Linked DNA regions of Anolis sagrei. The protein of the gene in region 1 interacts with the protein of each later gene in a biochemical or structural test. Links are inferred from orthologs where the notes say so. Each region holds a gene or a part of one and is shown in the gene's direction. Other genes may lie near its edges.

Region 1 (8,191 bases):
GGGATCATACAGTAGAATATGTCAACAGGCCCAAACATTACAAAGGACTTCGGATACACAGCCTTGGAAGGAGATGGACCCTCCTTCTCTGGAGATCTTGTATCTCTTGTGTTTTAATAGCGGTGATTTCACTGCATATTCCTGTATGGCAGGGGGGTGAATAAGATGGTACTTTGTTTCCTTCCAGCTCTGATTCCATGATTCTAATAGTAACAAGACCTAGTGCCATCTGTTTCATCATAGAAACACAATACACATCTGTACCTGTGGAATGCACTATAAAATCCATATTCCTAGGTGTTCTTGACATTACAGCAGTGAAAAGTCTAAATGAGCGCTTGAATCTGCATGATTTTTACATGGGAATGTCCTAAATCCACTATGAAAACCCACACCCAATTCTGTACAGTTAAGAAAACCTCCAGATCAGATAATTGGCATGATTGCCACTTGTCATCATAATTATGAAAGCACACTAGAATTAGATGGTTAATTGGGCATTTACATGCAAAATAGTAGAGGTATTTGCCTGTGATTTTTTTGTTGTTTTTTGAGGGTGCCGTAGGCATATCTGTTAATGATGTGGTTCAGAGGCACTGATGTGACGTGTGATTTGTCGTCATATGCTAATGTTGGAGTGTTGTTGTTTTCAAAAAGTCAGAATCCAAATATATAGAGATTCATATATGCAAACTGACATCATTGAAAGAGACAAAAATTCAAATATCTGATTTATTTCTCCACATTGCAAACACGGCTGGTGGGGACGAGAGACAGGGCCTCCTCGGCCATGGCCCCCCACCTGTGGAATGCACTTCCAAATGAGATACGATCGACCCCATCCCTCCTGGCTTTCAGGAAGAAATTGAAATCGTGGTTCTGGGACCAGGTTTTCAGACAGCAGACATAAATCAGCACTTTGGTTGGAAATGGATTGGCAAGACGATATCTATGAAGATACGGTTTTATTGTTTAATTAATGTTTTATGTCCTGTCGAAGGCTTTCATGGCTGGAATCACTGGGTTGTTGTAGGTTTTCCGGGCTATATGGCCATGTTTTAGAGGCATTTTCTCCTGACGTTTCGCCTGCATCTATGGCAAGCATCCTCAGAGGTAGTGAGGATGCTCTGAGGATGCTTGCCATAGATGCAGGCGAAACGTCAGGAGAAAATGCCTCTAGAACATGGCCATATAGCCCGGAAAACCTACAACAACCCAGTTTTATGTCCTGTTTTAATTAATGGTTTATGTATTTTATGTATTTTAATGGCTTAATTTTTTTTTTGTATGTAATGGTTATTGTATTTAATTGTTTATATGTAACGGCATCGAATCGCTGCCAGTGTAAGCTGTCCTGAGTCCCCCTTTGGGGGTAGAAAAGAGACAGGGCAGAAATACCGGAAATAAATAAATAAACAAATAAACTCAATTCTACTTCAATTCTCTATGGGATCCAGTTTTCCCTGAAAAGAGTGTCATTAACCCATTTGTATCTCTCTATATCTGTTGCCCCACAGCAATAATATCAGAAAACTTGTTTCTTAATTTAATTTACTGTTTGTGGCTTGCTTCCAAGAATCATAGGGACCTGACAGAAGTGCCTTGCATGTTTTTGTATCACAAAATGCTTCTGGATTCAAAATTTTAATGAATTAGTTTTTTTAAAAACCTTGATTAGTTGATAGCATTTTAACAGTTATATTCGTAGCCCTGTACTTGGGATCTTCCTTTTTATGCTACAAGGATCTGAGTATTTTGTGGTTCAGTTTATAGGTGCTGATATTGGTGTGTATTCCACATGACTATGATTCTGATACCTTGGACCACCATAAAAGTCAATAACAAACATGAGCAATTCAAGCCTGAAATCTCAAATTATTAAACTACAGCAATTGTATCTTGGACTTTGTGTGAAAAAGGAGTCGTTGGAAAAAAAATGATTAACTTAAGGAAAGTGGAAGGCAATAAGGAAAGAGAAAGACAACCTTAGAGATGGTGGTTGTTGTGCACCTTAAAGTTGCTTCCTCAAAGATCATATTGTAGATGGTTGTTGTTCCTGTGTGCCTTCTAATCATTTCTGACTCATTGTGACTCTGACACTATCACAGGGTATTCTGAGACTGAGAGTGTGTGACTGGCCCAAGGATATTAAGTTGGTTTCCTGGCTGAGCGGAAAGCTTAACCCTGATCTTGAGTCATAGTCCAGTGCAAAAACCACTGAGGCCCCTTCTACGCTGCCTTAAAAATCCAGATTATCTGCTTTGAATTTATTTATTTATTTACTTCATTGATATCCCGTCCTTCTCACTTCACGGGGAACTAAGAACTGGATTATATATCAGTGTAGACTCCTGTAATTCAGTTCAAATCAAATAATCTGGATTATCTGTTTTGATAATCTGGATTATATGGCAGTGTAGATCAATCCTAAATCACACTGGCTCCATATGGCCTGATTTAATCAAGGATGCCACCACCCTGAAATTGCTAGAACTGAATGGAGCTCATTGCCATATAAAATCCACATTATCTGCTTTGAAATTGATTATATGGCAGTGCAATTATTAAATATTGCAATTATTAAAACAAGATCTGTTAAAACAATTCCAAACTCTCTGAAGATCCAACTGCATTAATTTGCGCATTATTATTATTATTATTATTATTATGCAATAACAATCCATAGCAACCACTTACATTTGCTGTGAGATTGGGAATAGCCAAATTTATAAGACGTCCTTTTACCCTTGCTTAAACTTTAAAAGAGGCACCTTCCACACAGCTGTATAAAATCCACATCGAACTGGATTATATGGCAGTATGGACTCAGATAATCCAGTTCAAAGCAGATATTGTGGGATTTTCTGTCTTGATATTCTGGGTTATATGGCTGTGTGGAAGGGCCTTGAGTTTCCGTATGGAGAGAAAAAGCGAGATATTAATAAACATCATAATTGGGTTGCTGTGAGTTTTCCAGGGTGTATGGCCATGTTCCAGAAGCATTCTCTCCTGATGTTTCACCCACATCTATGGCAAGCATCCTCAGAGGTTGAGGGGTCTGTTGGAAACTAGGCAAGTGAGGTTTATATATCTGTGGAATGTCCAGGGTAGGAGAAAGAACTTTTGTCTGCTTGAGGCTAGTGTGAATGTTGCAATTGGCCACCTGATTGCAGCCTGGGGGAATCCTTTGTTGGGAGGTGTTTGTTGGTTATGGGAGTTCTGTGTTCCAAGTTTGGTTCGATTCCATTGTTGGTGGAATTCAGAGTGCTTTCTGATCATAAGTGAACTATAAATCCCAGCAACCACAACTCCCAAATAATTTATTTATTTGATGCACTTATTATCCCAAATAACAAAACAATCCCCCCCAACCCCACCAGTATTCAAATATGGGAGTATTGGATATTTGTGCCAAATTTGGTCCAGTGTATGAAAATACATCCTGCATATCAGATATTTACATGACGATTCATAATAGTAGCAAAATGACAGTTATGAAGTAGCAACGAAAATGTTATGGTTGGGGGTCATCATATGAGGAACTGTATTAAAGGGTCATTGCATTAGCAAGGTTGAGAACCATTGCATTGGAGCAGGGGTCCTCAAACCTTTTAAACAGAGGGCCAGGTCACAGTCCGTCAAACTGTTAAAGGGCCGGATTATAATTTTTTTTAAAAAAATGAATGAATTCCTATGCACACTGCACAGATCTTATTTGTGGTGCAAAAAACACCTAAGACAATACAATAATTAAAATGAAGAACAATTTTAACAAATATAAACCTATTAGTATTTCAATGGGAAGTGTGGGCCTGATTTTGGCTGATGAGATAGGATTGTTGTTGTTGTTGTTCGCTTTCAACTCGATCCAGACTTAGGTTGACCCTGTGTGAGGACCGGGTAAATGACCTTGGAAGGCCGGATCTGGTCCCCGGGGCCTTAGTTTGAGGAACCCTGCATTAGAGCATGGATCCACTTTAAATCCAGTTTCTGCCCCCTTCAGAATTTTGGGGCTTATAGTTTAGGGAGGGGCCTTTAAACTGCTCAGCCAGGCAAGTCCTGGCCCTCACCAAAACTACAAACCCCAGAATTCTGCAGGAGACAGACACTGGATTTAAATTGGATCCATGCTCTAGGTCAGTGTTTCTCAACCTAGGAATTGGGACCCCTGAGGGGGTTGCGAGGGGGTGTCAGAAGGATCGCCAAAGACCATAAGAAAGCACAATATTTTCTGATGGTCATGGGGATTCCATGTGGGAAGTTTGAGCCAATTCTATCATTGGTGGAGTTCAGAATGTTCTTTGATTGTAATGAACTATAAATCCCAGCAACTACAACTCCCAAATGGCAAGATCTATTTTCCCCAGACTCCACCAGTGTTCACATTTGGGCATATTGAGTATTTGTGCTAAGTTTTGTCCAGATCCACCATCACATGAGTCCACAGTGCCATTTGGATATAGGTGAACTACAACTCCCAAACTCAAGATAAATGCCCATCAAATCCTTCCAGTGTTTTCCATTGGTCATGGGAGCCAAGTTTGGTTCAAATCCATCTCTGGTGGAGTTCAGAATGCTCTTTGATTAGAAGTGAACTATAAATCCCAGCAACTACAACTCCCAAATTACAAAATCAATCCTCCCCCAAACCCACTAGCGTTCACATTCGGGTGTATTGGGTATTTGTGCCCAGTTTGGTCCAGTGAATGAAAATGCATCCTGCATATCAGATATTTACATTATGATTTATAACAGTAGTAAAATGACTGTTATGGAGTAGCAATGAAAACAATATTATGGTTGGGTCGTCACCACAACATGAGGGACTGTATCAATTGGTCACGGCATTAGGAAGGTTGAGAACCACTGCTCTAGGTCTTGAGCAAGGTTCCACTTTAAATCCAGTTTCTGCCCGCTGCAGAATTTTGGGGCTTATAGTTTAGGGAGGGGACTTTAAACTGCTCAGCCAGGCAGGTCCTGGCCCTCACCAAAACTACAAACCCCAGAATTCTGCAGGAGGCAGACACTGGATTTAAAGTGCTCTAGTGTGATGAGGCTGTGCAGTTTGACACCTCTTGAACTGCCAGGCTGAGTGCTAAAGGATCCTGGGAGTCGTAGTTGGGTGAGGCATGGAACTACAACTCACAGGGAGCCATAGCACTGCGCCCTGGCAGTTAAAGCGGCGTCAAAGAGGGGGAAACCGACTGGGCCGGCGTTTCAGAAAGCTAGGCCGCAACCCGCGCCAGAGAGAGCAGGAGAAGGCGCTTTCCTCTCAGCTGCTCGTCCCCCCCTCTCTCTCTGTCTCTCCTTTTCCTTCTCAGGGAGGAGGAGGAGACCGGAAAGGCAAGCGCGGAAGGGGAGGCCAAGGCGGCGGCGGGGCCCTGCGAGGAAGAAGAAGACGCCTTCTCCGTTTCCGCGGCTCCCCTCCCGCGCCGCGCCTCTTGGTTTCGCCCGCGCCTCGCGCCCTGCCATGTTGGATTGAGCCGGGGACAAGTTAGAAGTTTAAGGAAGGAAGGCAGGGAGGAGGAGAGGGGGAAAGAGAGGCCGAGAGCAGAGGGGAGCCTCCTTCCTCTTCCTTTTCCTCCCTCCCTTCCTGGGCCACTGCTCTCCATGCCCCTCTGAGGGGCCTGCCTGCCTGCCTTCCTGCCTTCCTTCCCTCTCCGGCCTGGCCCCGCCATGAGCAGCAACAACAACGCCACGCAGCCCCCGCCGCCGCGGAGGGTCACCAACGTGGGCTCCATGCTGCTCACCCCGCAGGAGAATGAGAGCCTCTTCGGCTTCCTGGGCAAGAAATGCGTGGTGAGTGAAGGAGGGAGGGAGGGCCGCTGCGAGGCCTGCTCTGGCGGGAGGCAGACAGGGCCCTGCGCCAAGTGACAGCCCAGGGGGGCTGAGGCGGAAGTGGCCCCCTGGGGCGGGCGAGGGGCGGGCTGCGGCCTCTGAGGGGGCGCCTTGAAACTCCCCCCTGAGGCGCTTCCGTGACCAGGAGGACCTTCACCAGGGGAAACTTGAAGCCCTCCTCTGAGGTACTTCTGTCACTAGAAGGACCCCCAAAGGGGGGCTTTTTGAAACTCCCCTTTGAGACACTTCCATAACCAGGAAGACCTTCGAAACTCGCCTCTCATGTACTTTCATAACCAGAAAGACCTTCACCAGGGGAGACCTGAAGCTCTCCTTAAAGGCACATTAGAAGGGCTTCCAAAGGGGGGCTGTTTGAAACTCCCCTCTGAAGCACTTCCATAACCAGGAAGAACCTTTAAAGGGGGAGACTTGAAGCTCTCCTTATAGGCACATCTGTAACTAGAAGGACTTCCAAAGGGGGGTTATTCAAAACTCGCCTCTCATGTACTTTCATAACCAGGAAGACCTTCAAAAAGGGAGACTTGATGCTCTCCTCTGAGGTACACCTGTTACTAGAAGGACCTCCAAAGGGGGGGGGGGGTATTCGAAACCCGCCTCTCATGTACTTTCATAACCAGGAAGACCTTCAAAGTGGGAGACTTGAAGCTTTCCTCTGAGGTACTTCTGTTATTAGAAGGACCTCCAAAGGGGGGCTATTTGAAACTCCCCTTTGAGACAATTCCATATCCAGGAAGACTTTCAAAGGGGTAGACTCGAAGCTCTCCTTAGAGGCACATCTGTAACTAGAAGGACTTCCAAAAGGAGGTTATTCGAAACACGCCTCTCACATACTTTCATTACCAGGAAGACCTTCAAAAGGGGAGACTTAGAGGCATTTCTTTTCCCCAGGAAGTCTTTCAAAGGGAGGATTTGAAGCTCTCATCTGAGGCAACTTTGGGTCCCGTGAAGGAGAAAAGCAGGATATAAATAAATATTTATTATTATTTAATATTATGACTTCCATGACCAGGAGGATCTTCAGAAGGAGAAACTTGAAACTCCCCTCTAAGATATTTCCATAACCAGGAAGACCTTCAAAAGGGAGCTATTTGAAACTCCCCTCTAAGGTATTTCCATGACCAGGAGGATCTTCAAAAGGGGAGGCTTGAAGCTGTCCTCTGAGGCACTTATATTACTAGGAGGATCTTCAAAGGGGGCTATGTGAAACTCCCCTCTAAGGTACTTCCATGACTAGGAAGACCTTGAAAAGGAGAGGTTTGAAGCTCCCCTCTGAGGCTTTTATTTTTCCCAGGAAGACTTTCAAAAGGGGAGACTTGAAGCTCTCTTCTAAGGTACTTCCCTGACTAGAAGGATCTTCAGAAGGGAAGATTTGAAGCTGTCCTCTAAGGCACTTCTATTACTAGGAGGACCTTCAAAAGGGGGCTATTTGAAACCCCTCTGAGGCACTTCCATGACCAGGAAAACCTTCAAAGGAGGAGACTTGGAGCTCTCCTTAGAGGCACTTCTGTTACTAGAAAGACCTCCAAAGGGGGTTATTTGAAATTTCAAAAGACCTTCAAAAGGGGAGACTTGAAGCTCTCCTCTAAGGCCTTTTTTTTTTCCCCAGGAAGACTTTCAAAAAGGGAGACTTGAAACTACTCTAATGTACTTTTATTACCAGGAGGACCTCCAAAGGGGGCCTACTTCAGGCTCCCCCCGAAACACTTCCATTACCAAGAAGACCTCAGAAGGGGAGACTTGAATCTCCCCTCTAAGGAACTTCCATGTCCAGGAAGACATTCAAAGGGGAGGCCTAAAGCTGTCCTCTGAGGCACCTCTATTATCTGAAGGACCTCCAAAGGGGGGGGGGGGTATTTGAAGCTCCCCTCTGAAGCATTTCTGTTGCCAGGAAGACCTTCATTTGGGGAAACTTGAAGCTCCCCTCAGAGGCACCTCCATTACCGGGAGTACTTTCAACAGGGGGTATTTGAAACTCTTCTCTGAGGCTCTTCTGTTGCCAGGAAAATTGTAGCCTATGGCCCTTAAAAGGGGCAACATGAGATACTGCCATTGCCAGGAAGACCCCTATGGCGCTTGTTCCAGAGGCTGTGATATGATGTTTGTGGAGAACTAGAATTTTCACAGTTTGGGGAAGGTCCAAACAAGTCTCAGCTTTTCATCTCCCTGGGGTTCCCTTTGTGGGCGTCACAGAGAGGGAAAAGCAAGCAAACCAGAGCACCCCCGTCCCCCTGCTGAGCCTTTCTTTCCCACACAGCAGCTACTGGCTTCATTTTATTTTTCTTGCTCCTGGTGGGAGTGGGAATGGGAAACAAGCCAGGAGAGAAAAGGGCCC
Region 2 (7,555 bases), on another chromosome or scaffold:
TTTTCTGTTGATTGTGGGAGTTCTGTGTGCCAAGTTTGGCCCAATTCCATCCTTGGTGGGGTTCAGAATGCTCTTTGATTGTAGGTAAACTATAAATCCCAACAACAACTCTCAAATGTCAAGGTCTATATTCCCCAAACTCCACCAGGGTCCACATTTGGGGATATTGAGTTTTTCTGCCAAGTTTGGTCCAGATCCATCATTGTTCGAGTGCACAGTGCTCTGTGTGCCAAGTTTGGCCCAATTCCATCCTTGGTGGAGAACAGAATGCTCTTTGATTGTAGGTGAACTATAAATCCCAGCAACTGCAACTCCCAAATGTCAAGATACTATTTCCCCCAAACTCCACCAGCGTTCACGTTTGAGCATATTGAGTATTTGTGTAGAGTTTGGTCCAAATCCATAATTGTTTGAGTCCACAGTGATCTCTGGATGTAGGTGAACTACAACTCCAAAACTCAAGGTCAATGTCCAGCTAACCCTTCCAGTGTTTTCTGTTGTTCATGGGAGTTCTGTGTGCCAAGTTTGGTTCAATTCCATCATTGGTGGAGTTCAGAATGCTCTTTGATTGGAGGTGAACTATAAATCCCAGCAACTACAATTCCCAAATGCCAAAATCAATCCTCTCCACAACCCCACCAGTATGCAAATTTGGTTGTATGATTGGGTATTTGTGCCCAGTTTGGTCCAGTGAATGCAAATATATCCTGCATGTAAGATATTTACATGACAATTCAGAACAGGAGCAAAATTCCAGTTATGAAGTAGCAGCAAAAAAAAATTGATGGTTGGGGTCACCACAACATAAGAAACCGCATTAAGGGGTCGTGGCATTAGGAAGGTTGAGAAACACTGAATTAGGAAATGGCATTGATAACCCAGGAGCAAAATTTGCATTGCAATGATGGAGGAGTTGCACATGCTGCAGAGATGCATCAGGCCAGGATCTTTGCAATGCTTTGCAATGCTTGCAACATCCTTTCTCTCTCCCCCACCTCTTCCTTTCAAGGTTTCTCAATGGAACAATGGCTTCTTTTGGGGGGGGGTGTCTGAAGGTCGAAAGGTGGGGCCCACTTCCTGCCTCCCTCCTCCATTCACCACTTCCTGAATCCTCACCCACTTTTGTGAGTCACCTGGCCACACAGGCAAGGCTCAGCAAGGCTTGCAGCTGCTTTGCTGCACCTTCTGCATTCATTCTCAGCCAGATAGAGACAGATCTATATATATATAAATGTCATGTTCATTTGTGAGATTTATTTATTTATCGAGTCAGGGGCAACCAGACCATTGTATTACATTTCTAACAGAACAAAACAAACAAACAGATTTAAAAAACACAAATTTTGCAAACTTGGTAGTTGATTAAATGTCCTTTGACCAGTATCTGGGTACTTGGAGTGCTTCTGGTGTTGCTGCAAGAAGGTCCTCCTTTGTGCATCATGTGGCAGGGCTCAGGGTGCATTGCAGCAGGTGGTCAGTGGTTTGCTCTTCTCCACACTCGCATGTCGAGGATTCCACTTTGTGGCCCCATTTCTTGAGGTTGGCTCTGCATCTCGTGGGGCCAGAGCGCAGTCCATTCAGCGCCTTCCAAGTCGCCCAGTCTTCTGTGTGTCCAGGGGGGAGTCTCTCATTTGGTATCAGCCATGGGTTTGAGCCTGCCACTTTTGGACTCTCGCTTGCTGAGGTGCTCCTACGACTGTTTCTGTAGATCTTAGGAAGCTATTTCTTGATTTAAGTTGTTGACGTGCTGGCTGATACCCAAACAGGGGATGAGCTGGAGATGTCTCTGCCTTGGTCCTTTCACTATTGGCTGCCACTTCCCGGCGGATGTCAGGTGGTGCGATACCGGCTAAGCAGTGTAATTTCTCCAGTGGAGTAGGGCGCAGACACCCCGTGATAATGCGGCATGTCTCATTAAGAGCCACATCCACTGTTTTAGCGTGGTGAGATGTGTTCCACACTGGGCATGCATACTCAGCAGCAGAGTAGCATAGCGCAAGGGCAGATGTCTTCACTGTGTCTGGTTGTGATCCCCAGGTTGTGCCAGTCAGCTTTCGTATGATATTGTTTCTGGCATCCACTTTTTGCTTGATGTTCAGGCAGTGCTTCTTGTAGGTCAGAGCACGGTCCAGAGTGACTCCCAGGTATTTGGGTGCACTGCAATGCTCCAGTGGGATTCCTTCCCACGAAATGATCCTCAGAGCTCGGGATGCTTGTCTGTTCTTGAGATGAAAGGCACATGTCTGTGTTTTAGATGGGTTGGGGATCAGCTGGTTTTCCCTGTAATAGGCAGTAAGAGCATCTTGTGCTTCGGAGAGCTTCTGTTCTACCATCTCAAAGCTCCCTGCTTGAGTGGTGATGGCACGATCATCAGCATAGATGAAACTCTCTGTCTCTTCTGGCAGTGGCTGGTCATTTGTGTAGATGTTGAACATGGATGGAGCGAGCACGCTCCCCTGAGGCAGGCCGTTCTTCTGTTTCCGCCATCTGCTTCTCTGGCCCTGGAACTCAACAAAAAAGCTCCTGTTTTGTAGCAGGTTTCCTATGAAGCGGGTGAGACGGTAATATTATTAGTAATATTACATGTAATATAGATATATAATTATAATATCATATTATTACTATATTGCATTACATTATAATATTATAAATATTATATGTATATACGATATATTATATTATTAGCACAGGAGACACACATACAATTTTAGGGGATTGGGGAAATTAGTTTTAGTGGGTGTATATAAGTCTTGCATTGGAAAATAAGAATTTTGGGAGTTGGAGGGGACCCCAAGGGACATCCAGTCCAACCCTCTCTTGCAAAGCAGGAGGCAGAATTACTATTATATTATTACCCATTAATATTATGATTAGACTCATAGAGTTGGAAGGGCCTCTCTCCAAAGGCCATCCAGTCCAACCCTCTTTTGCAAGGACACCATCAGATCCCTCCCAACAGATGGCCACTCAGCCTCTGCACCATAACAATAAAAAGCAAAGGAATGCCCTCCTCAAGTCCTTAAAGCAGGCATGGGCCAATTTGGGGGATTCCTTCAGGTTTTTTGGACTTCAACAGATGAGGGTGAAAAGGGAAAAGCCTGAGACTGTGAGGAATTCTGGGAGTTGAAGTCCCAAACGCGCCCCTAGCGGCCACTGGAGGTGGTGCCGCGGGAGAGGACAGCGCGTGTGCGCCTGCGCAAGAAGGAAGCCGCCTCGCCTCGCTTTTTTCACTGAGGGCGTTCTGCGCCTGCGCGAACAAGGAAGCAAGCCCGCCTTTTCTGTGCCTCTGCGCGGATAGGAAGGAGCCTCGCCCTTAACCGAAGGGACGCCAAAGCGGCGTTCTGCGCTTGCGCGGGGAGGAAGGCACCCCGCCCTCGCCTTTTTCATTCTGCGCTTGCGCAGGGGGAAAAGTCCCGTCCTTAACCCAAGGAGCGCATTCTGCGCCTGCGCGAGGAGGAAAGAAACTCCGCCCTTAAGCGCAAGAGAGCGTCGTGCGCCTGCGCAGAGAGGAAGAAGCCCCGCCCCCGCGTTGGAAAGAAAGCGAGAGGGCGGCATTTTGCGCTTGCGCAGAAAGAAAGCCGCCTTATCTCTTAACTGACGGAGTGTTCTGCGCCTGCGCGGGGAGGAAAGCTTCCCCATACTTAAGCTAAGGAAGGCGTTCTGCGCCTGCGCGGGGGAAAAAAGAGCCCTGCCCTCGCCTTGGAAAAAAAGCGGCATTTTGCGCCTGCGCAGAAAGAAAGCCGCCCCACTCTTCTAACTGACGGAGCGTTCTGCGCCTGCGCGGGAAGGAAAGCCTCCCTAACTGTAAGCGAAGGAAGGCGTTTTGCGCCTGCGCGGGGGAGAAAAAAGAGCCCCGCCCTCGCCTTTTTCTTTTAACTGACGGAGCGCGAGGACGGAGTTCTGCGCCTGCGCGAGGAGCAAAGAGCCCGGCCCTGAGACCAAGGAGCGCGTTCTGCGCCTGCGCGGGTGGGGAAAGAACCCCGCCTTTGCCTTTTCGTTTCACTAAAGGAGCGTTCTGCGCCTGCGCGGGGAGGAAAGATTTCCTCTACTCTTCCTTAGGCCAAAGGGGGGCGCAGAGGGAAGAAACCCCGCCCCCAATTTGGAAGACGAGCGCGAGGGCGGAGTTCTGCGCCTGCGCGGGAAGGAAAGATTTCTCCTTTGAACCAAAGGGGGGCGCAGAGGGAAGAAACCCCGCCCCCGCTTTGGAAGAAGAGCGCGAGGGCGGAGTTCTGCGCCTGCGCGGGGAGGAAAGCTTCCCCATCCTTAAGCGAAGGAGGGCGTTCTGCGCCTGCGCGGGGAGTTAAGCTTTCTCCTTTGAGCCAAAGGGGGGCGCAAGAGGGAAGAAACCCCGCCCCCGCTTTGGAAGAAGAGCGCGAGGGCGGAGTTCTGCGCCTGCGCGGGGAGGAAAGATTTCTCCCTTGAGCCAAAGGGGGGCGCAGAGGGCGGAGTTCTGCGCCTGCGCGGGGAGCAACGAGCCCGGCCTTGAGGCGAAATTGCGCGTAGTGCGCCTGCGCGGGGAGGGATAGGCCCCGCCCCCTTCCCTTCCCCTCAGTCCTTCTTCTGCCGCCCTCGCGCCCGCCCGGCCTGAGTCCCGCTCCCGCCGCGCCCTGAGGAGGAGCTCCCGAGCCCGGCTCCTGAGGCAGAGGCAGGCCGAGAAGGAAGGAAACAAGGCAGGCAGGAGCGCCCTCCTCTCGTCTCCTCTCCTCCGCGTGCCTCTTGGCTTGACTTCCGCCGGGCAGGCCTCCCTCGCCTTTCCCTCAGCGCGGGCCATGAGCGGCTGGAGCTGCTACATCGACAGCCTGATGGCGGACGACACGTGCCAGGACGCGGCCATCGTGGGATACAAGGAGGCGCCCTCCGTCTGGGCCTCCGCCCCCGGAAAGACCTTCGCCTCCATCACGGTAAGTACCCCAAAAACCCCTCAGGCCTCGCGGACTACAACTCCCATCATTCCTAGCGGCCTCAGGCCCTTTCCTTCCCCCCCCACAGCCGGGACTACAACTCCCATCATTCCTAGCGGCCTCAGGCCCCTTCCTTTTCCCCCACAGCCGCTTAAGCGGCTGTGGGGGGAAAAGGAAAGGGCCTGAGGCCGCTAGGAATGATAGGAGTTGTAGTCCCGGCTGTGGGGGGGAAAAGAAAAGGGCCTGAGGCCGCTAGGAATGATGGGAGTTGTAGTCCCACGCGGCTGGAGGGCGCCTCCAAGCAGAAGAGGAAGGAAGTGGCTCTGAGGCGAAGAAAGAGACCGTTAGGAGGGTCAGGAATGTGACCCGGAAGTAGCCCCCCCTCTCCTTCCTTACTTCCTTCCTTGCCACACCCCAAAGGTCACAACCCCCCCCCTTTTTTTTTTGAAAATTTAGGGCCAAGGAAGGAAAGAATAAGAATAGCAACCAAACAAACCAAAACAACACATAAATAACGTCAATTCGAACTTAATTGAAAAGATCAGTTAGAAAAAAATAAAATATATATTTTTAGGGGGGGTCTTTGGACCAAGGAAGAAATAATAATAATAATAATAATAATAATACCAATAATAATAGATACTATTACTCACCGCAAAGTGAGCAACCATAAATAGGAACTTAGCTGAAAAGAGCGGCCAGAAAAAATATTAAATATATTTTTAGGGGGGGGATCTTTGGGCCAAGGAAGAAAAAATAATACCAATAATAGTAGTTACTATTACTCATGCCAAAGTGAGCAAACAAACCAAAACAATACAGAAATAACATCCATTCGAACTTAGCTGAAATCCATTTAAATGTAACTGAAAAGAGAGGTCAGAAAAAAATTAAAATATATATATTTGGGAGGGGGGGGGTCTTTGGGCCAAGGATGAAAAATAATAATAATACCAATAATAATAGTTACTATTACTCAGACCAAAGTGAGCAAACAAACAAAAACAATATATAAATAACATCCATATGAACTTAACTGAAAAAAGCGGTCTTTGGGCCAAGGAAGAAAAAATAATACCAATAATGCCAGTAATAATAGTTACTATTATTACAAACAAACCAAAGCAATACATAAATAATATCCATTAGAACTTAACTGAAAAGAGTGGTCAGAAAAAAATAAATTATGTTTGGGGTTTGGGCCAAGGAAGAAAAGAATACGGTTAATAACAATAGTTACTATTGGGCCAAAGTGAGCAACCAAACAAACCAAAACAATACATAAATAACATCCATAGGAAGGGTGACCAAAAAAATAAATAAATTCAAAACATCAATATAGACTTAATTTAAAAGGGCGGCCAAAAAAATTCAAAACATAAATAACATCCATATAAAGTTAAGAAAGGAAAGAATAGGGATAATAAGAAGAATAGTTACTATTACTCACGCCAAAGTGAGCAACCAAACAAATCAAAACATAAATAACATTAATAGGAGGGGCGACCAAAAAAAATAAATTCAAAACATAAATAACATCCATATACACTTTATTTTAAAAGGCAGCCAAAAAAATATAAAAAACACAACTAATATCCATATAAACTTAAGGAAGGAAAGAATAGGGATTATATATATATATATATATATATATATAATATTGTATATTACAAGTAATATTACTAATAATATTACAATATAATTGTATAGTACAATATAGTGATGTATAGCGCTGATATTGTACTGTGCTAATGGTATAATGTATTGTGTGTGTGTGTATATATATATATATATATATATATCTTGTAAGCCGCTCTGAGCCCCCTTCGGAGCGAGAAGGACAGCATATAAATGCTGCAAATAAAATAAATAAATATTACTAACGCCATTGTCGGCAACAAAACACATCCAAACAACACATAGATAACATCCATAGGAATTTAACATAGAAGAACGACCAAAAAAATTATAAAAACACATAAATAACATCTATATAAACTTAATGAAGTTAACTTAAAAGGGCGGCCAATTTTTTTTTCAAAACAACACATAAATAATATCAATATACACTTAATTTAAAAGGGCAGCCAAAAGAAATCATAATTTTCCCCCTATTCAAATCACATCAGAAGGATCTCGAGAAATTATACTAAAAGTACAGAATGGGGAGTGATGTCATGGAAAGGAATGAGGAAACAAGAAGCCCCTCCTCTTTCAAGGGACCGAAAAGGGGGGGGTCCTGGCTCCCCCCCCCACGAAGGCCTTCTTGCCCCCTCCCCCCCTCCCCAAAGTGCCACGTCATACTTCCTTTCCTGTTTGGGAGGGGAGAGTTCCTTGGAGGCGAAGAGAAAGGACATTCACCCCCTCCCCCCCCCAAAAAACCGGAAATCCCCCTCCCACTTGCTGTTTCCGCCGCAGAAGGGGATTGTGGGCCTTGCTCTCTCTCCCCCCCCCCACAACTCCCCAAAAAGGCATTTCTGCCAGAATGGCGCCCTCCTCTCCTTAAAGGGGAAGGACTACAACACCCAGCATCCCCTCCAAGAAGCCTGTCTCTAGTTCCTTTTTGAAGGGGGGGGGGGTCTTATTCTTCCCTCCTCCAAAAGATCTTTGGTGCATCGAAAGGGTCCAAAGATGGGGTGGGGCTGCTTCTGCTT

What was found.
Region 2: the proteins of WASL (region 1) and PFN1 form a complex in vitro, tested with the Homo sapiens proteins (2 studies listed by BioGRID). The link is inferred for Anolis sagrei from reciprocal best matches to the Homo sapiens genes WASL and PFN1.

The regions. Positions count from the first base shown.
Region 1 is NC_090025.1:127,454,939-127,463,129, forward strand, and holds the start of WASL (actin nucleation-promoting factor WASL), read left to right. Parts: upstream 1-5,030; 5' UTR 5,031-5,676; coding exon 5,677-5,799; intron 5,800-8,191. UniProt on the Homo sapiens protein: Regulates actin polymerization by stimulating the actin-nucleating activity of the Arp2/3 complex. Involved in various processes, such as mitosis and cytokinesis, via its role in the regulation of actin polymerization.
Region 2 is NC_090026.1:1,330,376-1,337,930, reverse strand, and holds the start of PFN1 (profilin-1), read left to right. Parts: upstream 1-4,549; 5' UTR 4,550-4,769; coding exon 4,770-4,901; intron 4,902-7,555. UniProt on the Homo sapiens protein: Binds to actin and affects the structure of the cytoskeleton. At high concentrations, profilin prevents the polymerization of actin, whereas it enhances it at low concentrations. By binding to PIP2, it inhibits the formation of IP3 and DG.